4 linked regions of the Oryctolagus cuniculus genome follow. The main gene of each other region encodes a partner of the protein of the gene in region 4 in a complex. Links are inferred from orthologs where the notes say so. Each region holds a gene or a part of one and is shown on either strand. Other genes may lie near its edges.

What was found.
Region 1: TERT (region 4) and DKC1 share a complex: the UniProt entries of both Homo sapiens proteins name them as parts of the telomerase holoenzyme complex. The link is inferred for Oryctolagus cuniculus from reciprocal best matches to the Homo sapiens genes TERT and DKC1.
Region 2: TERT (region 4) and NHP2 share a complex: the UniProt entries of both Homo sapiens proteins name them as parts of the telomerase holoenzyme complex. The link is inferred for Oryctolagus cuniculus from reciprocal best matches to the Homo sapiens genes TERT and NHP2.
Region 3: TERT (region 4) and WRAP53 share a complex: the UniProt entries of both Homo sapiens proteins name them as parts of the telomerase holoenzyme complex. The link is inferred for Oryctolagus cuniculus from reciprocal best matches to the Homo sapiens genes TERT and WRAP53.

What each region holds. Positions count from the first base shown.
Region 1 is NC_091453.1:133,382,943-133,390,175, reverse strand, and holds part of DKC1 (H/ACA ribonucleoprotein complex subunit DKC1), read right to left. Parts: intron 7,107-7,233; coding exon 7,020-7,106; intron 5,217-7,019; coding exon 5,125-5,216; intron 4,968-5,124; coding exon 4,783-4,967; intron 4,349-4,782; coding exon 4,284-4,348; intron 3,959-4,283; coding exon 3,832-3,958; intron 3,651-3,831; coding exon 3,520-3,650; intron 3,424-3,519; exon of another isoform or gene 3,294-3,423; intron 3,065-3,293; coding exon 2,921-3,064; intron 1,723-2,920; coding exon 1,602-1,722; intron 651-1,601; coding exon 532-650; intron 139-531; coding exon 35-138; intron 1-34.
Region 2 is NC_091437.1:63,754,699-63,762,637, forward strand, and holds NHP2 (H/ACA ribonucleoprotein complex subunit 2), read right to left. Parts: upstream 4,180-7,939; 5' UTR 4,094-4,179; coding exon 3,934-4,093; intron 3,861-3,933; coding exon 3,791-3,860; intron 1,529-3,790; coding exon 1,408-1,528; intron 902-1,407; coding exon 776-901; 3' UTR 536-775; downstream 1-535. UniProt on the Homo sapiens protein: Required for ribosome biogenesis and telomere maintenance. Part of the H/ACA small nucleolar ribonucleoprotein (H/ACA snoRNP) complex, which catalyzes pseudouridylation of rRNA.
Region 3 is NC_091448.1:52,226,488-52,234,500, forward strand, and holds the start of WRAP53 (telomerase Cajal body protein 1), read left to right. Parts: upstream 1-1,642; 5' UTR 1,643-2,201; coding exon 2,202-2,857; intron 2,858-2,991; coding exon 2,992-3,090; intron 3,091-3,267; coding exon 3,268-3,379; intron 3,380-8,013. UniProt on the Homo sapiens protein: RNA chaperone that plays a key role in telomere maintenance and RNA localization to Cajal bodies. Specifically recognizes and binds the Cajal body box (CAB box) present in both small Cajal body RNAs (scaRNAs) and telomerase RNA template component (TERC).
Region 4 is NC_091445.1:97,019,830-97,027,062, forward strand, and holds part of TERT (telomerase reverse transcriptase), read left to right. Parts: intron 1-286; coding exon 287-358; intron 359-2,144; coding exon 2,145-2,333; intron 2,334-4,374; coding exon 4,375-4,501; intron 4,502-4,762; exon of another isoform or gene 4,763-4,809; coding exon 4,810-4,871; intron 4,872-6,097; coding exon 6,098-6,222; intron 6,223-6,513; coding exon 6,514-6,651; intron 6,652-6,830; coding exon 6,831-6,934; 3' UTR 6,935-7,233. UniProt on the Homo sapiens protein: Telomerase is a ribonucleoprotein enzyme essential for the replication of chromosome termini in most eukaryotes. Active in progenitor and cancer cells. Inactive, or very low activity, in normal somatic cells.

The sequences.
Region 1 (7,233 bases), on a different chromosome or scaffold from region 4:
GCCCATCCTTGCCTCTGAAACATCCTGTCCTCACCTGTAGTCGACATACTCCTGCTTCCAGGAGGGAGGGGTGCTATCTGTGGGTTTGCCATGCTTGTCCAGAAGGCCTTGCTTGATCATCAGCCTCTTCTGACTTGCCTGGTGGGATGTCAGGGTTTCAACATTAGAATGGCATCTATGAAGGCAGTGTGACTGCACACAGGTGGCTTAAACACACTTTGGACAGAACAGCACCTGGTTCCTCCCTTGTGTGTCCTCAGCAAAACCTCACGCTCTTCTGCAGAGCATTTGCAACTCAGCTACTCCCTCCAACAGGAACAAACACAGGACTTGCCCAGACCTCCACACCAGGGTCAACACCAGGGTCATTGTGGCGTTTCGAGGTACCAGGCACCTCTGTACTCAACAGCTGCTAGCATGGCTAAAATGCACCATTCCCTAAGGTCTGATACAGGGCCTATTTATGCTCATCAACAATGCAAATCCCAAGGCAAAACCAGCTAACAGGGCACTTCACCCAGTCCCCCTTACCTTTGGGCCTAAACCCCACTTCCGAGGGTAAGTGTCTCTCTCCATGATCACTCTCTTGATCTTTGCTACTATACCATGGTCACATGTAGAGATCACTGCGGTGGTCATTAGTGCAATAGCTACATGAATTGGAGAGAGAGAAAAGAATGATTTGAAGTGAAAAGAATGGATGAGCTCCAATCCTACTATTTTATACCACTTTAAACCCCATTTAAGGGACCAGCATTGCAGCACAGCAGGTTAAGCAACTGCTTGAGATGCCAGCATCCTATATGGGCACCAGTTCGAGTGCTGACTGCTCCACTTCCAATCCAGCTCCCTGCAACATGCCTGGAAAAGCAGTGGAAGATGGCCCAAGTGTTTGGGCCTCTGCATCTGTGTGGGAGACTTGAAGACGCTCCTGGCTCCTGGTCCTGCCTTAGCTGTTGGGTGAAAGATCTCTCTTTCTCTGTAAGTCTAGCTTTCAAATAAATAAACAAACAAATAAATCTTAAAAATCCTTAAGGCTGTGAACTCTACAATCTTATGCTCATCCTGAGCATACAGAGAAAACCCTCCATCCATTATGGGAAGGAAGCCTTTGAGATGGCATAAAACTTAACAAGAAACACTTAACACCCAACCAAAGAGATACACAGGCAGGTTTGTGGCTCTGGACACATGCTGTATTTCTGATGCAAATTATACCTGTTATAGGATTTATTTAAGGGCCACAAATAAATTTTAGGATTTATTAAGAGGGCCACAAAGCATTTAAAGACTTAAGGGACAATATAATAGTAACTAAACTTTCACAAGGTAAACATTGATACAAACCACAAGTTAAGTGGAAGCAGACAAGCAGTAGACTAAAAGGCTTTTTGCCTTACCATAAACAATCTTTTCTCACTTGTCACAAATGATTCTCTGTATTCTCACTAGAGTCAAGTACCTGGCTGACCAATCCCTCCCCTCACCCCCAAAACACCATGATTAGAACAACTTTAAGGAACCAGGATGTGGGGACCTATTCTCAGTGAGTCTAGCAGCAATGGTACCAGAACTGATGAAGGCAGTATATCCCTTCTTACCCATGCAGATGGCTTCCCCTTTGGTGGTGATGACCACAATCTCCTGATTGACTTCAATGCCATCCTCATATCGGAGAACACCTGGAAGCATGATCTTGGCCCCATAGCAGATGGCATTCACCTGCAGAGACGGTGTCACATGTGAGGACTCCACCGCTGCCTTGCAGCCTGATCCCACACCGCATCCACAGGGCACAGAAGAATTCAGCACTTTTCATGCATGACTCAAAAATATTAGACAGATTTAACAGCTACTTCTCCCATTTCCCTGATCCTTTAGCTGTGAAAGAGTAACTACTTCCTCACTGATCTCCAATTAATTATGCAATTGGGACATACAAGTTTATTTTTTTTTATAAACACACACACACACACATCAGTCTTAGCTTTCCTTAATTGCTCCTCTCTATCACACAAAGGTTTAGACATGAAACTTATAGGCCAATGGGTAGAAGCCCACCTCTTCAGTTCAACAGCACTTTGGAATCTATCTGCCTTATGCTATACCATCTTCACTCATCTAGATCTCTTGCTACCCATATTCTACTCTCTCCTTAGAGAATTTTCATGCCTGCCTAGTCTTTAACAAAATTTATAAACTACATTCTTTGATCATACTTAACAAATTCTGGACTACTTGGAAAGTAAGAAACTTATTCTTAAAATGACCACTACAAAAGAAACCCCAACTGAAAAATATTTACTTGCATTGCTAATAGGAATACTCTCAAGTAAAAGGCAAGTTAGTGAATATGTTAAGAAAAGGACTTGTAGGGCTGGCACTGTAGTATAGTGGGTAAAGTCACTGCCTACAACATCTACATCTCTTATGGGCGCTGCTTCAAGTCCCAGCTGCTCCACTTCCCATTTAGATCCCTGCTAATGCACCTGGCAAAGCAGTGAAGGATGGCCTCAGTGCTTGGGGCCCTGCACTCATGGGAGACTTGCAGGAAGGTCCTGGCTGCTGGCCTTAATCTGCCTCAGCTCTGGCTATTACAGCCACCTGAGTGAAAATAATCTTTAAAAAAAAAAAAAAAAAAAGAGGTTGATAACCTCAGTGAAGTTTCGCTTTCACAGCCTCAAACTATGTTTTATTTACACTAACAAAATATTTTATTCAAACTTCTACAGGATAAATAACTTTGTTACAGCTCTGAATCTCTCTAATCTCAACTTTTCCCCATTAAACTAACTTTGTCTTAGAACAATTTAAGTCAGTCAAGGTTTCTTAGGCACATAGAGTTTCCAAGAAGAAAAGACCATATCCTATCTTTGGAGTCAGTTTCTGTTCAAATGCGCATTCCCATCGCAGAACTTACTGCACTGTCTTTCATAACCAGCCGTTTATGAGATGTCAGCAGCTTTTCCAAAGGGTAAACAACTCGGCGCAGGTAGCTTTCGTCCTTATGGTTGTCATACAGCCACTGAGCATCAAGCACATCGTGCATTGTCACCATGTGGTCCTGAAAAGCAGGTACATAGGAAAAAACTCAGTGTCTTCAGATCTCCAACAGTTCACAGGTCCACAAACAGCAGCGGGCATTTGGCCACATAATTAAGATACCACTTGTGACACTCATATACCATGCATCTCTTCCACTAGTGCAAGCTCATGAAGAACCCTGAGCGTCTTCATACTCACCTCCCTTCTGGACACCTGTAACTGTTTATAGATTCACTTTATGAAAGCACTGCTGTAGGCTGGGAGATAAACGAATAGTGATACTTTCTATCCAGTTCTATCTCCAAACCCCTTTTAGTGTACCAAAGTTTAATTAACAGAACAGGGAAGATGCCCTGAACTGAACTCAACACTTTGGAAGTGGCCTTTCCCAGGGTGTGAAGTAGGCAGAGTTCCACCAGGGGCTGCAAGATACCCAGAACCAGCTCTAAAACTTCTAGCTCCATGAAGACACACCTTTTCACTCATGACTCCAGAACGAACTCTTCGAAGTTCTTGCATCTGACCGCCAACTCCCAATAACAAACCAAGGTGCACACACAGTGTCCGAATGTAGGTGCCAGCCTCGCAACTCACCCAAAATATGCCTAAGACATAAACACAATACAGAGTATTTTCCAGAGTTAGTCTGCTTCTAAGTCATCAAGCCTAGAGATGATATGACCTCACCACATAGTATTTTCAAAGATTACCGTAGAACCTTCCAGAATGAGTTCCTACCCAATGCGGCCTGTGATAACTCAGTTCCTCAAAGACCCAACAACCCACCTAATCTTCTTTCCGGATCATATTCGATCATTTTGCTCTCATAGATGGTCCTCACTCGGAGCTGCCTCTTCACTGCAGCAATAAGTGGGGGTCGCTGGAAGAGGGCACCCGTCAGAGTTTCTAGGGCCTGAGAATAAGCACAAATAGAAACAAGCACTCTCCCTACATGGCCTCTTAAATAAGATGAGAGGGCATATTTGGGGAGCTTAAGGATACAAAACATAAAAGGTTTTCTTCAAAATAACTAAAAAGCCATTTCTTTCCATTTCTGCTTCGTTCTTCAACCCCTGGGACGGCTCAGGGCTGATGGGAAGCAGCTCCTCAGAAGGGATGTGGCTGGATGGGGTAGCCCATTGAAAAGGGCAGGAGCATGGTCAGCCACGAAAGGTGGCTGTTTCCAAAGGCTTCAAGGGCTGAGACCCAACTTCCCTTCCCTAAAGTGAGAGACTTACCCTAGAAAGCTGGGTACCCCCTTCAATAGCATTGTGCAGCCGAACAATTCCCACATACTCTTTGCCTGAAAAATGACAAAAGAGTAGTCAGGTGTGGCCACTCAGTTTTCTGTATTTGTTATATGCTCCATAGCTGCCATCTTGCACAGCAGGAAAAGCAGACATTTTGAAAAGAAAGGAAAGGAATGGAACGACGACATTGGGAGCTCAACATTATTCAGTGTCTTGGTGCAGATTTCACAGAAACATAACGTGAAAGGAACCTGGAACAAGACAAGAGTTGGACTCGGAAAGAATTCTGCCTCAGTGGCATGAACGGAATTTATCAACACATGCCTCTATGAACTCCAAATGTAGACCCACCAAGATCTGGCAGAGGACAGAAGGTACACAGAAACAAAAAGCATATCCATGCTTCAGGGTAGGTTTTTTCCCCTTAATGAAGAAAATTTCCAAGAGGCAAAATGTGGAGGTAAACCTGCCTTCTGTCTTCACATACCTGCACTCTGCTGTGATTTCACCAAGCGAGTGGCTCGTTCTATGCACACGATTAAACAGCCAGTCACCTTGGGATCCAGAGTACCGCTATGTCCTGTCTTCTCCACCCGAAGGATTCGTCGGATCCAGGCTACCACCTCATGGGAAGAGGGGTTGGAGGGCTTGTCAAGATTAATGAAACCTGTCCTAGAATGGACAGAAAATTAATGTACCATTTGCTCTCATGCTGCAATAAAACAACAAACCTGAAGAGTTAAAAAAATTCACCACGCGAACAGGTTATACATTCAAGACAAAGCCACTGTAGGTTTCTATCAACAGTGCTTGCTCCCAACACACTTACCTAATATAGTCCCCAATCTCCCTCTTCAGAGGATTTGAGCCACAAGGAAGAGGTGTATAATGTGTTGTCCTGACATTTAGTTTGTCAAAATTCTAGAAAGCAGCAATACAATACAAAATAGTGTTAATGATAAACCATTTACACATGTAACAGCCAGCACCATCATCAACCATGATATGCTAACATTTCACATTCCTGAATTTGCATTTTTGCTACTGTATTTCCAGTATCTGCTGTGAAACTGTTCTGCTCCTTATACACCACCCAAATTAGTAAGAATCACACTAACTAGAATATTGGTAAGTTGAACTCATTATTCTCTATGAAGAAGACTGGCTTCACTGCAAGATTATGAATAAAACATGCAACAGTTTTGATTTTCTGAGGGACAAAAGTAGCCAAAATGATGATCAAGCCCAACTTTCATCACCAGTTTAGTTTCATAAAAAACAAACCCTCTTTTACCTATCTTCCACCCCTGGATTTTAAGTTTCATGAGAGCAAGGAGCTTGGCTACCCTGTTTAGTAGCAGATCCCTAGGGTCTACAATAGAAAAGCATATGCTGGCTAAATGACAGAAATATCTGGCTAAGCAGACACCCAAGTATATTAAAGCATACAAGCAAATATCATTCTTTACCATCCCACATACAAAGCTTTATGAAAACTACAGGATTGAGGGATGTCTAACTTTTTACCCTAGCCTAAAAGCCTAAAAACACTGCAATTCAACTCATTACTCAACTACCCTATTCAAAAGCTCAAATTATAGCCAAGACTTTCTTGAAAAAATTTTAAATGTACTTTTATAAAGAGCGAGGAAGACAGAAGGACAAACAGAAAGAGATCTTATTTATATCTGCTGGTTCACTCTCCAAATCTCACAATAGCCAGGCTGGGCCAGACTGAAGCCAGGAGCTGAGACTAGATCTGGGTCTCCTACATGGTTGGCAGGGATTCACTGTTTGAGCTGCCTCCAAGGCTGCAGATTACCAGGAAGCTGGAATCAGAAGTGGAGCCTGGTCTCAAAATCAGGCACTTTTGATATGAGATTCAAGTGTCCCAAGCGGCATCTTAACCAGGACACCAAATGCCCACTAATTAGCCAATAATTTCTAAAAGACATGCTAAATGCCATGAATTGTGGCTAAACATATTGCGTACATTTTCCTAAGAACAGAAAATAGCCTGAAAAGTTAAATGACTGGGGGTGGGCATTTGGCCACATAATTAATATGCCACTTGTGACACTCACATACCATCAGAGCGCTTGGTTTGACTCCGAGCTCCTCTCTTCCAAGCCAGCTTCCTGCTAATGCACACTCTGGGAAGGCAAGATGATGGCTCAAATACTCAGGTCCCTGCAGACTCTTGGGAAAGACCCAGACTGTACTCCTGGCTCCTGGCACTGGCTTGGCCCAGCCCAAGCTATTGAAGGCATTTGGGGAGGGCTGATTCATATTCTCTCTCTTTCACTCAAAAATAAATACAAAATAAAAAGGAAAAGTTACATGAGTGGTCCAAAGTCACATACAGTTTGGCTTAAATTGATGCAGCTTCAAGGACCACGCTCTTGAGCACTACAACAGTCCTAGTCCACGTGTAGCCCACAATTAGACAGATTTGTCTTACAAGTGCAGAAACTAAAAACTAATTGTTTACAAACTTTGATAGCAATTTAAAATTGCCATGACATATCTGAAATTATATTCTACTAGCGTGCAGCACAATGGGAAAAGTCAATAACCTCATCCTTCATTTGAGATACTTTGAGGAACACTGCTTTAATCATCTGGCATTCCCTGAAGTAAAGGATGCTAGCAGGAAGCATTCTTAATAAACTGTTTAATACTTAGAAATAATGTGAAAGCCAGGCATTCACCTGATGCACATACCTTTAGCAACAAGGGCCACTGAGAAGTGTCCAACTGAGCCACTTTGGATTCAGGTTTGATAAGAAATTCTTCAGCATGTTGTATTTCCTTCAACAGTTCAGAAACACAACCTATTAGATTGGTCAGCTGATTTTCAACAAATCTATTACTAACATTGAGTGCATGTTACTTAAACAGAAACAAAGCATTCCACGCCTGTGTACTGAAACTTCCA
Region 2 (7,939 bases), on a different chromosome or scaffold from region 4:
GCTGGGTCTACTACAAACAGCTAGTGGGCGTGGTGTGGGGCGCAGCCAGAGCCCAGGCATCTTCACTGAAGGGGACTTGGATGCTCTCAGCCCCTCGGCAAGGGGCCTTTACAGACACATGTGTACCAAGTCCAGTGGAGCCTTTGACATAGAGAAGGAACTTAAGTCTAAAGTGCTAGAAGGGATTGGTTCATCAGAGCCAACATGTTCAGCAGGAGGATGGCCTCTCGCTTCTTTCTATTTTTTAGTGTGTGGGTGGGTAAATTGCTTCCATAGCTTCAGAGTGGCACTAAGAAGAGGAATGGGGGTGCCCGACAGAGGCCGCAGGCTCCTGTGAGGCGGGTTCTGGGCTCTGCTACCTCAGTACACAGCCCCCATTTCCCAGGAAGTCAGTGGTGAAAGCCCTGGGTGCTGGGCGGCTCAGCGTTAGCGCTGCAGACTCTGGTGAGAAGTCCGCTTCCTCTTTTTCTTGCCCGCCAACTGCCTGGCCCCACCAGCAGCTGCTGCTTAAAACAACACCCACAGACTCACCACATTGTAGCCTTAGCATTTACTTGCTCAGCCCACACTCTTGGAACTGTCTTCATTTAAGCTCAACAGGAAACAGCTCTGATGGAGAAGGCGCCGGCTCTACTTTCATGATAAACAGCTGGTGGAGCTGCCTGGGAAGACTATGTTCCTCGGGGAACCAGGGCAGACACTGTGAACATGGGCAGAGGAGGGTAGGCTGGGCAGCTACCAGCCAGGCAGGTACCCAGGTTGCTGCCTAAGTCCTTCAGTGGGGTGAGGGCAGGGCCTGCACCTCCTCCAGGCACTCATCGTAGGCCTCCTGGTATTCCTCGTGAGGCTTAACCATAATCACACAGGTGGGGCGCTTGGAGCCCGCAGCTGCACCCAGATCCTAGAGGAGGAAAGAAAGGCTGTCTGGGGGAGAGGCCACAGAAGCTATGTGCAGGGAGTCACACGTGATGACTCAGCAGCTTGATCTGGCCCACAGTCTGTTCCACTGGGTCTGTCTATGTCACACTTAAAAGTTATTTTGAATTGGTTGCCATCATTTAAACTCCAGTAAGTATTCAAGCTGTGGTCCAGCCACACTGGGCCTACATCCCCACAAGGCCACCATGAAAGGGCTGCAGCCCAGCAGGGGCTGTTCCTGGGAGCATCCCCCTGAAACAGCCCCTCTGAGCAGGAACCCACATAACAGGACTCACACAGGTCCATGTACATCCGCATTCTTTCTCACAGTCCACAGGAGGGGCTCCTCATTTTATAAGACAGAAACTGAGTCGCCGTCTGCAGTGCCACAGCTTGGCAGCAGTGGTACCAAGAATCCGCAGTCCTGCTTCCCACTGTGTCCTGCTTGGCTCACCCCCAGCACCTCTCCCGAAGGGCTGTGCTTCTTACCGTCTTCGAGGGGATGTAGACGTAGGGCAGATTCCGGTCCTCACACATAACTGGGAGGTGGCAGTATACTTCAATGGGCAGTGTGTCTCCTGCCAGAACCATGATCCTGAAATGAGAGAATCTGCTGTGGTTTCCAGCTGTCCCTACCCCGTCAAGTTACAGGCCAAATTCTGGGCTGGGCTCTGGGGGTGCACAGAGTAAGATGTCCATCCCCCCACCTCCCCTGCTCAAGGGGTTACTATGTGAGTCTGCCAGCCTCTGGAAGGGTGCAAACTTGTATTTGGCAAATAGTATTTGTCCAGGGAGGTGATCTCCACTTCTTAACAAAATGTAAATGCCACCAAGTGTGATAAGGGGTACAGTACTGAGACAAATGAGGTTTGAGGGGCACCAAAGAATAAGCTCAGCTTTTCTCAGAGTCAGTAAAAGCTTGGGTGGACATTTGGCACAGTGTTAAGATGCTGTCTGGGGAAGCTGGTGCTATGGCGTAGTGGGCTAAGCCTCCGCCTGCAGTGCTGGCATCTCATATGGGCACCAGTTTGAGTCCCACCTGCTCCACTTCTGATCCAGCTCCCTGCTGATGGCCTGGAAAAGCAGTAGAATATGGCCCAAGTGCTTGGGCCACTGCACCCACAGTTGGAGACCTGGAAGAAGCTCTCGGCTCCTGACTTCAGATCGGCACAGCTCCAGCCTTTGCAGACATTTGGGGAGTGAACCAGCAGATGGAAGATCTCTCTCTGTCTCTCCCTCTCTCTGTAACTCTCAAATAAGTGACACACCCAAGGGCCTTGCTAAGAAACAAGCTGTGTCCCAAAAAGAACACCAGAGTCCTCAGCTAGGGTCCCCAGCTAGCAAGCTCACGGGGCTCTGGGCAAGGGCAGCTGGGAGTGCTGCTTCTCCTCTCCTGGGGCCTGTCAGCAGCCTTTAAGCTGGTGTCCCTCAGCCTGGGCCTTGGCTGCCCTCTCCCTACATCCTTCCAGATGCACCCGCAGCCACGATGACACGTGCCGCCAGTGTGCTACAGCTCCCAGACCCGTTCTCCCCAACCTGTCCCCCTCTCTTCCAAGCCCCAAACCCATATAGCCATCTGCCCGACTGACAGTTCAGGAGGTCACACTTCTTCAAAGTAATCTCCCCACACAGACGTCTCAGAAAACAAGCCCTGCACCCTGGGCAGGGCATGCCAGAATCTAGAAACCATTTATACTTCTTGGTCCTTCTGAAAGTCCACTTGGATCCATCTACTTTCATATATATGTATATATGTGTATATATACATGATTGATTTCTTTGAAAGGCAGAGAGGGAGAGACAGAGATCTTGTATCTGCTGGTTCACTCCCCAGATGGCCACAATGGGGCTGGAGCCAGGCTGAAGTCAGGAGCCAGGAACTCCATCTGGGTCTCCCACATGGGTGGCAGCGGCCCAAGCTCTTGGGCCATCCTCTGCTGCTTTCCCAGGCACACTGGCAGGGAGCTAGAGCAGAAGAGAAGTAGCCAGGACTCAAACTGGCACTCCTATATGGGTTGTCCACACCGCAAGCCGTGGCTTAACCTGTTCCGAACAACGCCAGTCCCATCATCCACTTTAACTGCAATTTCACCATGACCTGTCCTAGATTATAGCCACCTCCTGCCTGCACTTCCTCAGATTGACTCTTGCCTCTCTGATCCTTTCAATTGCAAGAAAAATCTTTTACAGTTGTTTGAGACAGCTCTCATCTGGTTTACTCCCCCAGATGCCTGTAAGGCTTGGGGCAGAATGCAATCCAGGCTCCCAACCACCAGGGCTGCAGCCCACCCCCTAGCACCTCTCCCGAAGGGCCTGGCAGGAAGCTGGGGCTGGGGATCCCACCCAGGTGGGCCACGGGACGTGGATGTCAACTCTAGGCTAACACTAGGCTACACGCCTGCTCCCACATGTTAAGGTGCAACCATAACCGTGTCACTTCCTGTCTTTACCCTTCAGTGGGCTCCCAAGCTCTGAGCACAAACACTAAGCTATGGCTTACAAGGTAGCTCCCAACGTTTATCTCCAGCACCTACACAGAGCCAGGCACCTCTGGAGGTAAAGCTGTGCGGGCCGTGTTCTCGTGGCGCTGACTCCGGCGGGACTGGGAGACTTACCGCCCGTCCCCGCCCCAAGCAGCGGGGCAGTGGGGTCACTCTCCTCCACAGCTGCGGTTACCCGCGAGTGTGGTGACCCATAGAGAACACAGTGCCTGGAGAAGCGGATTCTCCTGACAGGCGTCCGGATGACCGAGGCCGGGGTCCGCCCGCCCCGAGCGCGTCTGCACCGACGGGAGCCCGACCCAGCCAGCCTCTCACGGGGCGCCCCAGGCAGCACGGCTCCCTGCAAAGTCCGGCGCAAGCGGGATTCTTACCCTTTCTCGCCCTTGTTGACAAACTTCTGAACCTCCTTCACCCCGCGCCGGATCTGCTTCTGCTTCACGGCTGCAACACCAGAAGTCAGCGGCAGCGGTGCACCCGCCCCTCCATGCCCACGCCCGCCCGGCCCCGGCCCCACCTTTCTTGATGCACTTGTAGAGCTTCCGCGTGAGGCGGCGCGAAGCCAGGGGCTGCGCGATGGGGTTCAGGTTGACCAGCAGCTCGTGATAGGTGCGCTCCCCGCCGCACGCCTCTCCCTGGGCCTCGGGCCCGTCGGGGTCAGACTTTATTTTGGTCATGGCGGCAGCAGCCGCAGCGGAGTCCCCGGGAAGCTTGTCCGCGTGGTCGGCCGCTTCCGGAACCGTTGCCGAGTCACCCCGCCCCACAGGAAGCCGCCGTACAGCGCGTCCAATTAGGACACGATGTCTCCGACCCTCGAGCCAATCGCTGACGCTCAGCGTATTACAGCCGCGCCTGAGCGGCCGGGGGCGGGGCCCCGGGAGCGAGCGGCGGGCTGAGCGCGGCAGGGGCGGCTTGCCTCCGGGTCCTGGGCCGAGAGGCGGGGCCCGGAGAGAGGGGGCGGGGCCCGGAGAGAGGGGGCGGGCCGGCCGCTGCGGCTGCTGTGGGGGCTGGGCGCCGCTGACACCCAGGCCTGGGGAACGGCGGGAGGTGGTGCCTGTGCGGGCGTGTTGGTGTCTGGGGGCGGGGTCCTGGCCTACTGGCCGGTGCGGTGCTCAGCGTGATAGAAAAGCTGGGCCTGGCTGGGCCTGGGCGGCGTGCCCAGCTGCTGCTGGAGGCGGAGGTCCAGCCCCGCGCGCTGAAGCGGCCTTGCCCTTGCCTCGCCTCCCGAGCTTTGCTTTCTCTTCCCCGGACCCCGCCTTAACAGTTCGCGAGGGGCCCCTTTCCTCCAGGCTTGCCCCCGCCCGGGGCCTGCCCGCTGCACCTGCTGACTTCATCTAAAGCTGCAGCCCCTCCCACTCCCGCCGTAGTCCCCCAACCCTCTGTCGTCCCAGTTAACCCCGCTAGGGTCGCCGTAGGGAGCCCGGCCAGGCTAGGCGTGGCTTGGGCAGAGATGGCCAGGTGGGGTGGGCCGGCGCGCCGGGTCGCTAACCGGATCGGACGGGCGGCCTGGGGCCTAACAGTCCCAGATTCCGGGGCCTCTCGGCGTCTCCGACTGGGCTCCTCCGCCGTTTGGGACGGCTGCGTGGTTATTAATTTGATAATTTCTGCGAATCAATGCCTCTCGTTATGCGGTGGCAGGCCTGCCTTTTGTGGTAGAACCAGCGAATATTGGCCGTGGCTCACTTGGCTAATCCTCCGCCTGCGGCGCCGGCACCCTGGGTTCTAGTCTTGGTTGGGGCGCCAGATTCTGTCTCGGTTGCTCCTCTTCCAGTCCAGCTCTCTGCTGTGACCGGGGAAGGCAGTGGAGGATGGCCCAGGTCCTTGGGTCCTGCACCCGCATGGGAGACCAGGAGGAGGCACCTGGCTCCTGGCTTCAGATCGTCTCTGGCCATAGGGGTCATTTGGGGGGTGACCTTTCTCTCTCTCACTAACTCTGCCTGTCCAAAAAAAAAGATTTCTTTATTGATTTGAAAGGCAGAGTTTGAAAGGCAGAGTTACAGAGAGAGGGGGAAAGAGGGAATTTCTTCCATCCACTGGTTCACTTCCCGAATGGCCTAAAAGAGCTTGGAACTCCATCCAGGTCTCCATCTGGGTGGCAGCGGCCCAGGTACTTGGGCCACCATCTGCTGTCTCCCCAGGGAGCATTAGCAGAGAGCTGGATGGGAAATGGAGCAGCCAGGACTCAAACCAGTGTCCATATGGGTTGATTGCATTGCCGGCGGCAGCTTAACCCATTGTGCCACAGTGCTGGTCCCCAAGTTGATTTTTTATTTTTAAGAAAATGTGTATTTTCATTTACTTGGAAGGCAGAGTGACAGAGAAAGAGAGAGATCTTCAGTCTGCTGCTTCACTCCTCAGATGACTGCAACAGCCAGGGCCGAGCCCGGAATTCTGTTGGGTCTCCCACGTGGGCCATCACCCGCTGCATTCCCGTGTGCATGGCAGGAAGCTGGATGGGCAGTGCAGAGGAGCAGTGGCGCAAACCTCCTCCCCAGGGATCTAATTCTTTTTTAAGAATGGAGGTTTTTTTTAAAGACTTATTTATTTATTTATTTGAAAGAGAGAGAGGAGAGAGAGAGAGGGAGAGAGAGAGAGGTCTTCCATCCACTGGTTCACTCCCCAGATAGCCACAATGGCTGAGCTGTGCCAACCTGAAGCCAGGAGCTTCTTCTGGATTTCCCATGCAGGTGCAGGGGCCCAAGGACTTGGGCCATCTTCTACTGCTTTCCCAGGCCATAGCAGAGAGCTGGATGGGAAGTGGAGCAGCCAGGACTTGAACAGGCACCCATTTGGGATGCAGGCGCTTCAGGCCAGGGCTTTAACCCACTGCTCCACAGTGCTGGCCCCTAAATAAATCTTAAAATAAAAATAAAGATAAATAACAACAGAAACTGTGGTCTCACAGTTAGAAGGCCAGAGGTCTGCGCCGGGGCCTTGGCAGGGCTGTGCTCTCTCTGAAGGCACCAGGTCCTTCTTGGCCTCCCGTGTTGCTGGCAGGTGATCCTGGTTCACGGGGTCTCTCCAGTGACTGTTCCTGTGGGATTTTTTCCTCTTATAAGGAGACCGGATGTACTGGATTAGGGTCCACCCTCATGACCTTGTGTTAACTGGATTACATCTGCCTGGGCCAATTTCCAGATAACACCGCATTCACCACCATCAGGGGCTAGACACTGGGGCCCAGGAGTGATGGGGCTGGGGGCTGGGCCTAGGGGGGCCGTGTCGCCAGGCAGTTCTGACCTGAGACTTCAGGACCTTGGGCTTCCTAGCCAGTGACCCAGGGCTCAGATTTCTGGAATTCAAGGGAAGGACTGGACTTTTCAAAGCAGAAGGGACACTCGGGACCCCTGAATGTAGACCTTGTGGAGATGGGAGTCTGAGGCAGTTCTGAGAGGCTTCCTCCTTGTGGAGGTGGCCTTGCGAGGTGGTCTGCTATGGCCTGGGAAAGCAGTGAGGATGCCCCAGGTCCTTGGTCCCCTGCATGCACATGGGAGAGCGGAAGAAGCTCCTGGCTCACCCCTGACTGTTGCAGCCATTTGGGGAGTGACCCAGCGGATAGAAGACCTCTCTCTCGCTGTATCTCCTTCTCTCTCTCTGTAACTCTGCCATTCAAATAAATAAATCTTTTATAATTTTTTTTATTTTTAAAATTTATCTGAAAGACAAAGAGAGAACTTCTACTCTCTGGTTTGCTCCCAAAATGCTTGGAAGAGCTGGGCTGAGCCAGGCTGAAGCCAGGAGCCAGGAACTCCATGGGGTCTCCCATGTGGGGCCCAAGTACTTGAAGCAACACCTGCTGCCTCCCAGGTTCATCAACACAAAGCTGGCATTGTAAGCAGAGCAGAGCCAGGACTTGAACCTAGGGACTCTGAAATGGGATATGATGTCCTTTTTTTTTTTTTTTTTAAGATTTGTTTTATTTGTTGGAAAGGCAAAGTTACAGAGAGAGAGAGTGAAGGATTTTCCATCTGCTGGTTCACCCCGCCACCCCCAAATGGCCACAATGGCTGCAGCCCATACCAAAGCCAACAGCCTGGAACTCCATCCAGGTCTCCCCATTTTCTGTTGCTTTCCCAGGCGGCTGCATTGGCAGGGAGCTGAGTGGGAAGTGGAGCAGCTGGGACGTGAACCAGCTGGTATCTCAGGGAGCAGCTGTTGTGCCACAATGCCGGCCGGCCCCCTTGGTGACGTCTTAGCAGCTGCTCCAAACCCCAACCCTGTGTCTGTCCTGACTCTCATGCACCCCTTCCTGGTTCGGGGTGTGTGTGGGTGGAGCTGCCTCCTCTGCGGCTCTCCCCACCCTTTCATCTGTCACCCTCTTCCATCGGCTTCCCATGATCTCAAAACTCAGGGCTTTGTGTCCTCTATTGTCGACTCTCCCTCCCACTTTCCTTGCGGTTTTGGTGAATGTTGGGATGGTCTTGGTGTGTGTGTGTAGAACCCGTCCCCTCCCCCACGCCCTCACCCACACCTCTCCCCCAGACCCCACTGCCTCCCACTGCTTAAAAGCATTCCTGAGCCAG
Region 3 (8,013 bases), on a different chromosome or scaffold from region 4:
TCTCACAGGCTGAAATTACGCCAGGCGCCGAGGGGAAGAGAAGCACTTAAGCTTCCGCGAAGGACAGTTTAGAAAAGCGACAGGCACATCGGGCCACGGTGCCCAGGGCCTGGGACACACCGGGGCACCGCCACGCCCCGCGCGGTGCAGCAGCAGGGCACACGGACCCCGCCGGCCCCGCCGCCGCCCGCGGGCAGGACCCCGCCGGCCCGCCCCTTCCGCTTTTACGACGTCCGGACTGCGTTTGGAATTGGTATGGCTTAGCCCAAAACCGGATACTAGAGAAGCTGTTTCCCCTACACAGACGAATGGCCTGTCATTGCACACTTCCAGAATTCGATTCCCCAGCGGACCCATTTCCGAAAATACTTGGTTTTGCCATCTGTAACGTGTTCGCCTCCCCCCCCGTCCCACAGAATGGTAGCGTCCACCTAGGCTGCGAGGGGGGCAGGGTGGAGCGCACCATTCAGAGGCGGGGGGAGGGACGGAGGTGTGCATCAAAACAAATCCTCCCTTCTTAGCAAAAGCAGGAGCCAAGTCATCCAGAGGGCAGAAAAGGTGGGAAATGATAGACACCTCTCCCGCAAGGAACAGAAATCAGCCTGAAAGACACTAGTTTCTCTCTCCCCCCACCCCCCGCATAGGGGGAACCGTGAGCCGCTCCGCAAAAAAGAAACCGGAAATGCTCCTGCAAGTGGCAGAAATGTAAATGTGGAGCCAAACAATAACAGGGCTGCCGAGCCTCTCAGGCCGGGACGGTCTCCCCGGCTGCCTTGAGCAAACCCTCTGCTCGGCGCGTCCCACGGCCGCCCGGCTTTGATCGGAGTTTCTCCATCCGGCGGAGCCGGCGGCCGGCTGCGATGACCACTTCGGGGAGACAAAGGTCCGGAAGTCCCGAGACCCGAGCGCTCTCTTCGGAACGGAGCCCGAGGTTTCCCTCCGCTGCCCTGGACCTTACCATCTCGGGCCTAGAGGTCCGAGTCTCGCGATGTGGAAACCTCAGCCCCCAAGGCTTAGTGCATGTTATTTCGGGGGCGAAGTAAACCTGGGGCTGGCTCAGGTCCCCCCGAAAGCCCCACTCCCCTGCCCAGCGTTCGCACCCAGGCCTCCCGACGCGGCACTCCTCTGTTCCTCCCGCCAGCCGGCCTCTCGCTCCCACCGAGCCCCCGTCCACCCCCACTGCCCCACCCCCAGCTGCGCCCCTAGATGAAAATGCAAGGTGCCCAGAGCCAAATCCCTTAGAGGGGACGCATCAGTCCCAGTCAAGGCCTTACCCAGTCCTCAGGAGAGCGTGTCACGGCCCCGGGCGGCACGCTCCGGCCACGGACGCCAGGTGCCCCCGCAGCCCAGCGGCTACCTGCTTCCCGGACGGTGGCCCCGGACTTTTGAGGCGCTCAAAACTTTTAGCGCCAGTCCGAGCACATGGGAGGGGAAAACCCCAATCCCATCAGCCCCCGCGAGGCTCCTGGACGGTCGCCATGACAAGTAAGGGCAAGTCATTCGCCTGCCGGCGTGAGGCGAAGGAAATGGAGGGTGTGTGTGTGGAGAGAGTCAGGGTTCTTGCAGCCTCGGTGCTGTAGCGGCTAACATTTTGTCGCGGCGAAGTTCTGCAGGCCAGGGCTGTGAGGGCAGAATTGGCGGAAACCATTTTGAATATAAAGGGTGGAAGGAAGAAAGCTCTTGTCTTCGCCGCTTCCCTCTTGTCCGCAACACTGCCCTGATAGCTAGTTTCTTCTCATCAGCTCAACCGTAACCTTCTAGAAGGGCTTTCCTTAACGTCCCAGTCTAACGCGTCCCCCAAGTACTTCATATCACACCATCTTGTTTAGTTTCCCTCACAACCGTTCTCACTATCTGCAGATCTAGTCACCCTTTCCCACACAGCAATGCAACCTTCTGAGGACAGAGAACCTGTCTATTGTCATCGTTGTGTTCCCCAGTGGCTCGTGCAGTGCAGGGTGGCAAGAGCTTGATAATACATATTTACTGAATGAATGGAGAGAGACAGAGGGCTGAGGAATTGGCGAATGGGATGCAGAAGAGGTGTAAAAGCTGCAAGGTCAGGCGCCCTCTGCAGGCTGAGGCGGGTAGGCGCTTTGAGAATTGTCGTGGGAGACGGTAGGGGGCGCTCTGGTACTTCTCGCCAAGGCGGACGCGTTCAGACTACAACTCCCAGCAGCCACGAGGAGCCGTAGGGCTTTATGGGAATTGTAAGTCTTAAACCTGTAAGGCCCCCGCCTCGCCCCGACGTGGTTCGCCCGCGAAATCCGCTCCGGGGTGCGGAGGTCCAATCGGGACGAAGGTGGGCCCAAGTCCCGCGAGAGCCAGTGGCGTGTAGCTACCACGGTGCTGAGAGACGCCGGCTCTCAGTGCTGTTCTCGCCTCCCGCTCCCGGAGGAGGCAGGAAGGCGCGGGTGGGCTCCTCCAGGTCTGCGTCGCGGTTCCCGGGAGCTTCGGAGCCGTCCTGGCCGCCCGGCCGAGGCCAATGCCTGCCGCACTGCTTCTGCAGTATGAAGGCGTCGGAGGCTCAGCCCTCAGCTCCGGGGGACCAGGCCCCCGCTGCAGCCGGTCAGTCTCCGCGGGCTTCCTCGGTGGATAAAACTCCGGATCCCGAACCGATGCCGCCGGCGCCCGAAGGCAGCGATCGGCCCCGGGCGTCCCCGGGTGCGGTGCCTGGCTCAGGGTTCCCCCAGGAGCTGGGCGCAGGAGACCCAGATTCTCTGTCCGCTCTGCAAGCCGAGTTCGATACCGAGCTGGGTCCGCCGGTGCAGGAGCAAGAACTTGGCGAAGAGGCGAGCCTCGCTGCAGAAGCCGCGGACGGGGCGGCCGCGGAAGGCCTGTCGGAGGAGGGAGACACGTAAGTGGTGGCGGCGGCTGGCCGTGGCCTCCGAGGCGAGTGCAGGTGTGAGCAGGACCTTGACCGCCGGCCCCCAGGCCCGTCTGCCCGTGGCTCAGCGCCCCAGGTTTGTTGTTCCTCCGTCTTCCTTCCAGCCTTTGGAACTACAGCTTCTCCCAGCTGCCCCGATTTCTCAGCGGCTCCTGGTCGGAGTTCTGCGCCCAACCCGAGAACTTTCTGAAAGGCTGTAAGTGGTGAGTAAGGGTAGCGGGGCCAGAGGTTTGCACCTTAAAGCAGCGTGGGAGAGGGGTGAGGCGCCCTTTTTAGGACCTAGGCCTTTGTGTCTTGCACCCCCAGAGGTCAGCTTAGCCCTAGCGCTCGGCTTGGGCCGCTTGGCTCTGGCCAGGATTCTAACCCTTTCCTATTTTTAGGGCTCCTGACGGTTCCTGCATCTTGACCAACAGTGCTGATAACATCCTGCGGATTTACAACCTGCCCCCGGAGCTGTACACTGGGGAGGAACAGGTGGAATATGCCGAAATGGTAAGGGGAGGGGCTTGGCAGGCACCTTCATGTAGCTGGAGAAAGTGTAGACCACGGCTTTCCTGTTCACACACTTGTCTTCCCTGTGAATTTACAGATCTACATATCTGTTTGAAAGGCAGAGTTATAGAGAGAGGGGGAGAGTGGGAGAGAGATCTTCCATCCACTGTTTCACTCCCCAGGTGGCCGCCAACAGCCATGGCTGGCCAATGCTGGGAGCCAGGAACTCTGCCTGGTCTCCCACATGGGTGGCAGGGGCCTAAGCACTGGGGCCATCTTCCGCTGCCTTCCCAGACGCATTGGCAGTGAGTTTGGATAGGAAGTGGAGCAGCGGGACTGGCATTCATATGGGATGCTGGTGTCACAGGTGGCAGCTTAACCCACTGTGTCACAATGCCGCCCCTATATGTAGCATTTTCTGTTTTGAATAGTGAAGTTATTCAAAAGGGTGTTTGTCCCTTCTTAGGTATAGGATGTGTTGTGTTTTTTTTTTTTTTTTTTTTTTTTTTTTTGACAGGCAGAGTGGACAGGGAGAGAGACAGAGAGACAGAGAAAGGTCTTCCTTTGCCGTTGGTTCACTTTCCAATGGCCGTCGCGGCCAGTGTGCTGCGGCCGGCGCACCGCGCTGATCCAAAGCCAGGAGCCAGGTGCTTCTCCTGGTCTCCCATGGGGTGCAGGGCCCAAGCACCTGGGCCATCCTCCACTGCACTCCCGGGCCACAGCAGAGAGCTGACCTGGAAGAGGGGCAACCGGGACAGAATCCGGCGCCCCGGCCAGGACTAGAACCCAGTGTGCCAGCGCCGCAAGGTGGAAGATTAGCCTGTTGAGCTGTGGCGCTGGCCAGGTATAGGATGTGTTTGTCCGAAAAAAAAAAAAGGTAGTAGATTTCTCGGAGCAGTATGTATGTATCCAAATGTTTACTGAATGACTGCCAATACAGTAGGCATTGTTTTTGGTGCTGGGGTAACGTGGCGATTGATATAGACAAGAGCTGTTTGCTTTCTTGTGTGGGAAATGGATAACACACAGGTTAACCGATAAGATCAGTACAAATGACAATGAGTGCCTGTACAGTTATTATGTACTAAAAGAATATATATAACATCCTTGTGGAATATTAAAACATGAACAAGTCGCTGGCAGGCCAATGAAATAATTTTTTTTCCACACAAAATTTGTTCTCGAATTGGCTGTGAAGGAAATAGAAGGCGAGATGAGCTAGTGTTTCAGAGGAAGTGGGCAGGAAAGGACATGATGAGCCTTGGGCCAGCCTTGGAGAGAGCCTTCCAGGAAGAGGCAGGGAGATCAGGGAGGCCAGAGCCGGGAAGAAATTCCGTGTTTGGAGAACAGAAAGAATGCCCGTGGGGCTGGGCTGCAGCCAGTGAGGGGGAGGTAGGTGAGGGCAAGGGGTGCCCCCAGCTGCGGCCTGTGGGATCTCCTGATGCGGCCTTTGGAGATGACTTGGGAAGCCACGGAAGAGCTTTGGAATGGAAGAGTGGAGAGACTGAGGGTGGGCCAGAGTGAAATTGGCTCCCAGGTGAGAGGTGGGTGATGTCAGGAGGGGCGTGGGTGGGTTTGGGGTGTCTTTTGTAGGACTGGGAGATCCGTTGGGCATGGAGGTGCAGGGAAGGAAGCAGTCGAAGGTGGCGTCCAGGGTTTGCAGCAAGTTTGGAGGGGGGGCCCAGTGTACGCCAAGGAGGAAACTGGGACAGGAGCAGGCAATGGGACAAATCGGGGGTTTCTAAGTACACTAACTGAAATGTGGGGCTACGGGGAGAAGGGGGCTGGGGCTGTAACTCGAGAAATGGGAGGGTGTGTCCATGGCATCTCATGGCTGGACAAGTGGGTTCAGTCCTGGGAGTGTGGACCCAGGAGGAGAAGGCCCCAGCGGAGCCCTGAGTGCTGCAGTGTGTGGAGGGGGTGCAGGAGAAGTGACAAAGGCGGAGGCCGAGACGCACGACTGGCGCTGCCGAGAGACCGGAGCTGGGTCTGGAGAAGGCCCGAGAGCACGTCAGGACCGCCCTGGAGATGCGGTGGAGGCAGAGCCGAGCAGGGCGGGGGGGATAAAGAGCGTGGACAACTCTTCGTGGTGGTGCTTTGAAAGGGATCCTAGAAATGGATTGGTGACCAGAGGGAATGTGGGCTTTTAGGGTACATCTGTGATGTCAGGAACAACCAAGCAGACAGGGAGGCCTTGGTGCTGCAGGAGAGAGCACGGGGAGAGCAGAGCTCCCCAGTGGTGGCCCGAGGAAGGCAGGGTCTGGATCACGCTGGAGAACTTGGCCTTGAGAGGCAGAGTCCGGCCTCACGGCAGCGAGAGGTTGGAAGGTTTGTGTCTGCCTCGGCAGAAAAGGAGAGCCACGGAGGAATGTTCTCTGCTCAGCGCCTCTCAGAGTTGCTGTCATTTTTTTTTTTTTTTTTAAGATTCATTTTATTTATTCGAAAGAGTTAGAGAGGTAGAGACAGAGAGAGAGGTCTTACATCTGCTGGTTCACTCTCCAGATGGCTGCAACGGCCGGAGCTACATCAATCTGAAGCCAGGAGCCAGAGCTTCTTCCACATCTCCCATGTGGGTGCAGGGGCCCAAGGACTGGGCCATCTTCTACTGCTTTCCCAGGCCGTAGCAGAGAGCTGGATAGGAAGAGGAGCAGCTGGGACTCGAACCAATGCCCATATGGGATTCCGGCACCTCAGGCCAGGGCTTTAACCCGCTATGCCACAGCACCAGCCCCAAGAGTTGCCATCATTTAAAGCAACACTAGTGACAGGCATTTGTCACCGCAGTGAGAAGCCACAGCGTGGGGCTCCTGCATCCATCGGGTGTGCCTTGTTTGAGCTCTGGCGACTCCACTTCTGGTTTAGCTTCCTGCTGATGTGTGTCTTGGGAGGCAGCAGGTGGTGCCTCAAGCACTTGGTCCTTGCAGGTGGAGGTCTATGCTCTGGCTTTGGCCTGGCCCCAGCTATTGGGAGTATTTGGGGAGTGAACCAGCAGACAGATGATCTCTCTCTCTCTATTTTTCTGCCTTTCAAAGAAAATAATACATAAAAATTTTGAAAAGTGAGACTACTATAGTTGTACATCTTTTCCAGTGAGTTAAATGACTGGAGTTTTTCAGTTTGTAAAACAAGGATGATTAATAGAACTGAGAGAATTTAACAGGGGGCCAGTGTTGTGATGCAGTGGGTTAAGCTGTGACTTGTGACGCCAGCATCTGTACTGGAGCAGGGTGTCTTGGCGGACTAGAGAGAGATTGTGAATGTTCCCGGAATAGCAGAGCGAGCGAGCTGCGTGGGCCAGAGGTGATCCTCCGAGGCTGCAATGGCGGTGCACTGCCGCCGGGATGAGTGGGAAGAGGAGGCTGATGTGGACCCAAGGCGGCGGCTGTGGGGGCCAAGGAGATCAAGGCACAGAGAGGCCAGCGTTGGGCAGATCCATCCATCCTTTTTTCTTTTTTAAAGATTCATTTATTTATTTGAAAGAGTTACACAGAGAGAGAAGGAGAGACAGAGAGTCTTCCATCTGCTGGTTCACTCCCTAGTTGGCCGCAATGGCCAGAGCTGTGCCGATCTGAAGCCAGGAGCCTCTTCCAGGTCTCCCACACGGGTGCAGGGGCCCAAGGACTTGGGCCATCCTCTACTGCTTTCCCAGGCCATAGCAGAGAGCTGGATCGGAAGTGGAGCAGCCGGGACTCGAACCTGCATCCATATGGGATGTGGGCACTGCAGCTGGCAGCTTTACCCGCTACACCACAGCACCGGCCCCCCATTCATTCTTCTGCTGATTCATTCATTCAGCGCATTTTTGTGGAGCATGTTCTGGGTACCAGGCTTTGCCCCCGGGCCTTGGGGATTAGTCAGATGCAAGCCTGGCACGAATCCTCGTCCTTATGAAGCTTCTATTCCAGCGTGGGTGACAGGCGGTGAGGAGGTAACCAGGTAAACTGCACGTGTGATGAGGGCAGCGGGGAGGGCTGGCAGTGAGGAGGTAACCAGGTAAACTGCACGTGTGATGAGGGCAGCGGGGAGGGCTGGCGGTGAGGAGGTAACCAGGCAAACTGCACGTGTGATGAGGGCGGCGGGGAGGGCTGGCGGTGAGGAGGTAACCAGGCAAACTGCACGTGTGATGAGGGCAGCGGGGAGGGCTGGCGGTGAGGAGGTAACCAGGTAAACTGCACGTGTGATGAGTGCAGCGGGGAGGGCTGGCGGTGAGGAGGTAACCAGGCAAACTGCACGTGTGATGAGTGCAGCGGGGAGGGCTGGCGGTGAGGAGGTAACCAGGTAAACTGCACGTGTGATGAGGGCAGCGGGGAGGGCTGGCGGTGAGGAGGTAACCAGGCAAACTGCACGTGTGATGAGGGCAGCGGGGAGGGCTGGCGGTGAGGAGGTAACCAGGCAAACTGCACGTGTGATGAGGGCAGCGGGGAGGGCTGGCGGTGAGGAGGTAACCAGGTAAACTGCACGTGTGATGAGTGCAGCGGGGAGGGCTGGCGGTGAGGAGGTAACCAGGCAAACTCCACGTGTGATGAGTGCAGCGGGGAGGGCTGGCGGTGAGGAGGTAACCAGGTAAACTGCACGTGTGATGAGTGCAGCGGGGAGAGGGCGGGGGAGTGATTGGAGAAGCCCTCTGTGTGAGG
Region 4 (7,233 bases):
GTGTGCGTGTGCGTGCGTGTAGCTGCTCCACGGGCGGGGCGAGATCAGGAGGGTGCCCTGCCTGGCTGTCCCCGTCCCCGGTCTGGCTCTCGGTCGCATCTCCTGGAGCAGGGCTCCGAGCCAGGCCTGGTTGTGAGGTTCTGCTGTCAGTGCCAAATCCCACCAGCCTGTGCAGCCAATACGGAGGCCCGGCGGGGGCAGGACGCAGGCGCAAGGTCCCGCTGTGCACGCCCTCCTGGCCCCTGCGCGGGTGCTGCGAGGGAACTAAAGTGAGCCCGTCCCCCAGGGTGCTCCTGCGTCTGGTCGACGACTTCCTCCTGGTTACACCGCACCTGGCCCAGGCAAAAGCCTTCCTCAGGTGAGGGCTCGCACCTGCCAGCCGGGGTGCTGTGGGGGCTGCCGAGCTGTGGGCACCAGGACACAGGTTCCCACGACACAGGAGCCTGCCACAGATACGCCACAGACACACCCCACACAGACACGCCCCACACAGACACACCCCACAGACACGCCCCACAGACACGCCCCACACAGACACACCCCACAGACACACCCCACACAGACACGCCCCACACAGACACGCCCCACACAGACACACCCCACAGACACACCCCACACAGACACGCCCCACACAGACACGCCCCACAGACACGCCCCACACAGACACACCCCACAGACACACCCCCACAGACACGCCCCACACAGACACGCCCCACACACACGCCCCCACAGACACACCCCACACAGACACACCCCCACAGACACGCCCCACACAGACACGCCCCACACAGACACGCCCCACACACACGCCCCACACAGACACACCCCACACAGACACGCCCCACACAGACACGCCCCATACAGACACACCCCACACAGACACGCCCCATACAGACACACCCCATACAGACACACCCCACAGACACACCCCCACAGACACACCCCACACAGACATGCCACAGACACGCCCCACACAGACACACCCCACACAGACACACCCCACACAGACACGCCCCATACAGACACACCCCACAGACACACCCCCACAGACACACCCCACACAGACATGCCACAGACACGCCCCACACAGACACACCCCACACAGACACGCCCCACACAGACACACCCCACAGACACGCCCCACACAGACACGCCCCACACAGACACGCCCCACAGACACACCCCCACAGACACACCCCACACAGACACACCCCACAGACACACCCCACACAGACACGCCCCACACAGACACGCCACACAGACACACCCCACACAGACACACCCCACACAGACATGCCACAGACACGCCCCACACAGACACACCCCACACAGACACGCCCCACACAGACACGCCCCACACAGACACACCCCATAAACACGCCCCACACAGACACACCCCACACAGACACACCCCACACAGACACGCCCCACACAGACACGCCCCACACAGACACACCCCACACAGACACACCCCATACAGACACGCCCCATACAGACACGCCCCATACAGACACACCCCACACAGACACACCCCACACAGACACACCCCACAGACACGCCCCACACAGACACGCCCCACACAGACACGCCACAGACACGCCCCACACAGACACACCCCACACAGACACACCCCACACAGACACCCCACACAGACACGTGCCACAGATGTGCACACCACAGGCACTGACAACACCACACCCTCCACACGCCCTCCACACAGACGCCCGTGCCCATCGCGTGGAGGTGAGGCCAGGACCAGCCGTGTGCGTGTTCTGAGGCTGCTCTGTGTGGAGCCACTACCGCTGTGGTTCCCGTGTCCCAGAGCTAAGGACCCCAGAGGGACAGTGCCGGGGCTTCCGAGGCCTGGGACCACCCACCCCCCCAGCCAGACCGCTCCTGCCAGCCGGGAGCTGGGCCCGCTCGAGGGGCTGCCCCGGGGGTCCCTTTGCTCCGGGGCCTCCTGGGAGGGTCTGAATGTCAGGGCGGGGAATGCAGGTGCGCGCCAGGGCGGTGGCCACGGGCCCCCAGGGAGCATGGGAGCTGGGTACAGCAGCCTCGGGCCCTGCTGGCCGGCCCAAGCCCGTCCCTGCACAGCTGCCGGCCGTGTCCAGCTCGTGTCTGCAGACGGACTCCTGCTGCTTCAGGGCCCTGGTCAGCGGCGTCCCCGAGTACGGCTGCCACATCAACCTGGAGAAGACGGTCGTGAACTTCCCTGTGGGGGACGTGGCCCCGGACGGCCCCGCCCCGCTCCAGCTGCCCGCCCACTGCCTGTTCCCCTGGTGCGGGCTGCTGTTCGACACACGCACCCTGGAGGTGTCCTGTGACTACTCCAGGTGAGGGCCGCGGGCCTGGGGGGGGGGGGGCGCCATGGAGCCTCAGCCGAGAGCTGGCCGCAGCGTGGCCACCGTGGCGTGGGAGGCTTGCCAGGCACATTTTCCCGGCGCTTTGGTGCAGGCTGTGGAGTGCAGGAGCAGCCTGGGCCCCCGGATCTCTGGCAGGACACGTGTGGTCTGGTAGCCGTCTTGGTGTGCCCACGCCAAGAGCTCACAGCCTGGCCTCAGGCTCGGCACAGCCACGAGTGACGTGAGGGGGAGTCAGTGTTTCCTTCTCCGTGTGTGGGCAGTGCCTGTTACTCTGCAGTTAACTGTCCGGGTCTGGACAGAGCCCCATTCCCAGAGTGCTCGCGGGGCACCTGCTGCGTGGGGGTGGGGCAGGCCCTGTCTGTCCCCCGCAACCCCGTGTCCTGTCCACCTGGGGTGCCCGGCTGCCCAGCCTGCCCTGGCTCTGGGTGGTTTGTCCTCGTCCTTGGGACTCAGATCGGATGGTCCAGGGCTTCTTGCCGTCCGCTGCACCGGCAGCCGTGTGGGCCCGCCCCCGCCACCACGCCCTCGCCCACGGACTCGGCTCCCTGGAGGACAGGCGCCCCCACTCCCTGCCTCCAGCGCTGCCGAGCTGTGGGTGACGCCGTCGGGAGACGTGCCCCTCGGGACACACTAGCAAAGCCAGGGAGCCTGTCGGCGGGCGTGGGGGAAGCAGGTGTGTACCGGTGCTGGGACAGCTGGGGCCCCGGCGCCCTGGGGCTGTCGTGGCCGCGTCAGGAGTGGCTCCAGAGCCGCTCCGGAGCTCTGCATCTGGGTGTCCGGCACACGTGGCCGAGGGCTTCAAGCCGCGGCCGGAAGGAGACCGAATAACTGTGGGGTGAAGGCAGGCCCGGCCAGATTTGGGGCCACCCCAGCCGCAGCCCCGGTGACGCAGTGGCGCACCGCGGAGGAGGCCGCCTCTGCCCAGCGAATGCGTTAACCCCGCGAGGAGCGGGTGAGGGGCACGAGGGGGTTCCTGTGGCTGCGGCGGGAGACGTGACCGACACCCGCTCGCCTCACAGACGTGCGGAGAAACGCTGGCACGGGAGTTCAGGGTGGGTGCAGGCGGGACACAACCCCAGGGGAGCAGCTGAGCATCAGCGGCCGCGAGGCAGAGGCCTCTCCCCGCACGCGGGTGCTGGGTGCCCACGCTCCTCCCACTCGGTTCTCGGGGTGCACCGGGCAGCAGGTGCTCAGTGGCGGCTCCCGGGGGTTCTGCCCAGGCTTGGAGCAAGCTGCAGACCACGGCGTTGGGCGCTCGGAGCTGGCCAGGCCCGGGAGGCCCGCACTGGAGACCCCGGTGCTTCCAAGGAGCCCTGGCCGACCGGCATGCTGGCGGTGTGACGGCGCAGCCCGCACAAGGGGCTTAGCGGCCACGCGGCCACAGGGAGACACCTGTTCTGGAACGTTGATGACACTGAAGTTCATTTCCGCCGCTGCCGTGTGGCTCGGGGTGGGGAGGCCTCTGCTTCCTGCCCCTGGGCGCTGCCTTCAGCCAGGGCCACTGAGGCGCGGGCCGAGGTGCTCTGTGCTGTGTCCAGGGACGAGACGTCGCCCACCGAGTGTCGGGCGTGGGGCCACCGTTGGCGTCCAGGCTCCCGGCTGTGTGGTTTGCCGGGCGCCTCCTTCCTGGTGAGGCCTGCCCGGGTCTCCCCAGGGCTCGTTCGTCTGTCGCTGATGAGCAAGCCCAAGTCCTGGGTGGACGTCACCCTGCAGGCCACGTCCCAGGCTCTGCGGGGACGGATTCTTGGAGCCAGGTGGGCAGGCATCTCCGTCAGCGACACCGGGCCAGGATGCGGACAGGATGGATTCTCGGAGCCACCCCGGGGCAGGGCGGGCAGGCGTCCCCGTCAGCCACACCCAGGGCCAGGATGGGGACAAGGATGGATTCTCGGAGCCACCCCGGGGCAGGGCGGGCAGGCGTCCCCATCAGCCACACCCAGGGCCAGGATGGGGACGGGTTCTCGGGGCCACACTCGGGCAGGGCTGGGTGTGCAGCGTGCCCTTGTGTCAGCTTTGCAGGGACGTCCGTCAGGGCCAGCCTCACCTTCAACCCCGGCGTCCAGGCCGGGAGGGGCCTGCGCCGCAAGCTCTTGGCGGTCCTGCGGCTGAAGTGTCATGGGTTGTTTCTGGACCTGCAGGTGAGCGGGCAGCGGCCGAGACCTGAGCGATCGGGTGTGGCTAGCGCGCACCAGGCACACGTGCCTGACGGTGTGTGCGTCCGTGTGAGGGGCAGGGGCACCTGTGTGAAGGGCACGTGGGCTTGTGGGTGTGCATGCGTGGGGCTGGTCACCGCCCTCCCTGGCCTCAGCACGCTCAGGGTGAGGCTCCCTGCTGGGCACCCCACCCCCCGCCTGGCCAGGGCTTGGCTGACTCCCCGGGGACGGTGGCTCCTTGCCCAGGGGCTCCCAGCGTGTGCCCATGACGCCCCGCTGCCCCGGCCACGCAGGTGAACAGCCTCCACACGGTCTACGTGAACCTGTACAAGATCCTCCTGCTGCAGGCCTACAGGTGAGTCCCTGGCTTCCGCCTCGGGCAACTCCACGCCCACCTGCGGGTGGGGACAGTGGCCCACGTCCTGGGGCAGGCAGTCGGGCTCAGAGGCGGCTGAGTTAGCAGCCGGCTGGGCAGGAGACACAGGGCGCGGTCGGGTACAGAGCGGAGGGTGGCAGTGGCTCCAAGCACGTTGCCAGCCTGGCGTCCACACACGGGCTCCTGCCCATGGCTGATGGTGCTTCTGGAACATTCCCTGTTCTTCGCTGATCCTGGGGACGGGGGGTGGACGGGCAGCTCCCCTGCAGGCCGTGTCCTCCGGGCTCGGGCGCTGTGCCCTTGGCCTGGCCGTGCCCGTGCCTCAGCCTCTGTGCCCCGGGGACTTGGCTCCTGAGGTTTCCAGGAAGCCGCTGCCCCCTGCAGCTCGGGCGGGAACTGACCTCCAGCGACCCTGTCTCCAGGGACACGCAGAAGCCGCTGGCTCTCAGCCTGCAGTCGGCAGGTGGTGGCCGTCACCTGCCACCCGCCCGGCCCCGGAAGCAGAGGTCCTCGCGGTGTACCTGGGACGGGGCCACACACACAGGGTCATTGTCCACAGGGATCGCCCACAGGTCACGAGTCAGCCACGGGAGCCGTTCTAGCCACAGGGCCTAAGCCCGCATTCAGGCCCCGAGGACTGCCACAGCCACATGTGGCTCCCTCCCCGTCCACGGGGCAGAAGGGCTGGTGGCTGCTGTGTCGGGAAGGGTCGGGCACACAATGTCCTGGGCACTTGGATCCCTGGAGGCAGGCGTGGGGAGAGGAGCTGGACTGTGACGTCGCGGGTGGGTGCATTCCACACGTGTCCACCTGTGTCCCAGCAGTGCCTGGGGTGCAGCTGACTCGAGCCCACAGGCTGAGTCCAGCAGGCCTGGCACGGGGTCCTGCGGGCAGAGGTCTCCCGTGGGCTCCCACGGAGCACCCTGACTTAGCCGACCACAGGGCCAAGGCCCCGTCCCCGCCCAGTGTGTCCCCCCTCAGGCGGCAGGGGGGCCCTCGGTGGTGTGGCTGGGAAAGGGCACTGGCCGAGTGGACAGCCTCGCCTTGTCCACAGCAGGCTGCGGTGGTCAGGGAGACCCTGTCGTGCGCGCGTGAGCACACGTGTGCCCCTGCGCGCACACAGGCGGACAAGCAGGCACCGGTCTGCACACGCACAGCACGCCCTGGTAGGGACCGCGTCCTCTGACGCCTGCGCCCTCCCCCAGGTTCCATGCGTGTGTGCTACGGCTTCCGTTTAACCAGCACGTTCGCAGGAACCCCTCCTTCTTCCTGCGGGTCATCTCGGACACCGCGTCCTGCTGCTACTCCATGCTGAGAGCCAAGAACCCAGGTGCCTGGGGCCAGGGCTGCGCTGCCGTGGGGTCGCGGGTAGGCGGTACGCTGTGGGGTCGCAGGTGGGCGGGCATGGTGCCATCGGGGATTGCGGGGTGCCTGCGGGGCTGGCGGGTGTGGATGCCCGGGAGCAAGTGCATCTGCCTCGCCCACACGTGTGCCTCGCCCGCACGTGTGCCTGCACTGCAGGGACCCCGGGCGAGTCAGGCCGCTGCTGAGGGCGCTTGGTCTCCTGGGGGGAAGGCAGGAGCTTGGGGTCTGGGGGTCACCAGCCGTGCTCTGCCCCCAGGGATGTCGCTGGGGGCCAAGGGCGCCTCGGGCCTGTTCCCTGCGGAAGCCGCGCGGTGGCTCTGCTATTGCGCGTTCGCACGCCGGCTGGGCCGGTACCGAGCCAGCTACAAGTGCCTGCTGCGGGCGCTCAGGACAGGTAAGCGGGGGGAGAGCCCCCGGGCGCCTGGCTGAGCTGGGTGTGCCGGGTATGCCGGGCCATGAACCCTCGCTGGCCGCCCCGGGTGGCCAGGCCAAGCTCCGTGCTTCCTCCCGGACCCCGGCCTGTGTCCCGCCCCGGGGACCGACCAAAGGGGCCTGACTGCCCGACTTCTGCAGCCCAGGCACAGCTGCATGGGAAGCTGCCCGAGGCCACAATGGCCGCCCTGGAGGCCGCGACTGACCCGGCCCTGACCGCAGACTTCAAGACCATCCTGGACTGAGGCCGGAGGAGCCGGGCACATCGCTGTCGGGGGAGGGGCCGTCTGTGACACAGGGCAGGGCCTGTCCTTGGGGGCTCCTTCCTTCAGGTCAGTCCCCTCCCTGCTGTCCTCAGGGGAGCAGAGCCCACTGCCAAGACCTCTCATGACCCCGGCCACGGATGGCCCGAGGCAGTGGGAGACCTGGCCGTGGGCCGTGGGCCTGTGAGCATGGGCCCCACCCTGGACCTGCTCATCACCCCCGCGTGATCCAGGGCTGCTGGGGGAAGCCCTGTGCTCTGTGCTTGGTTACGCTGCCCAGC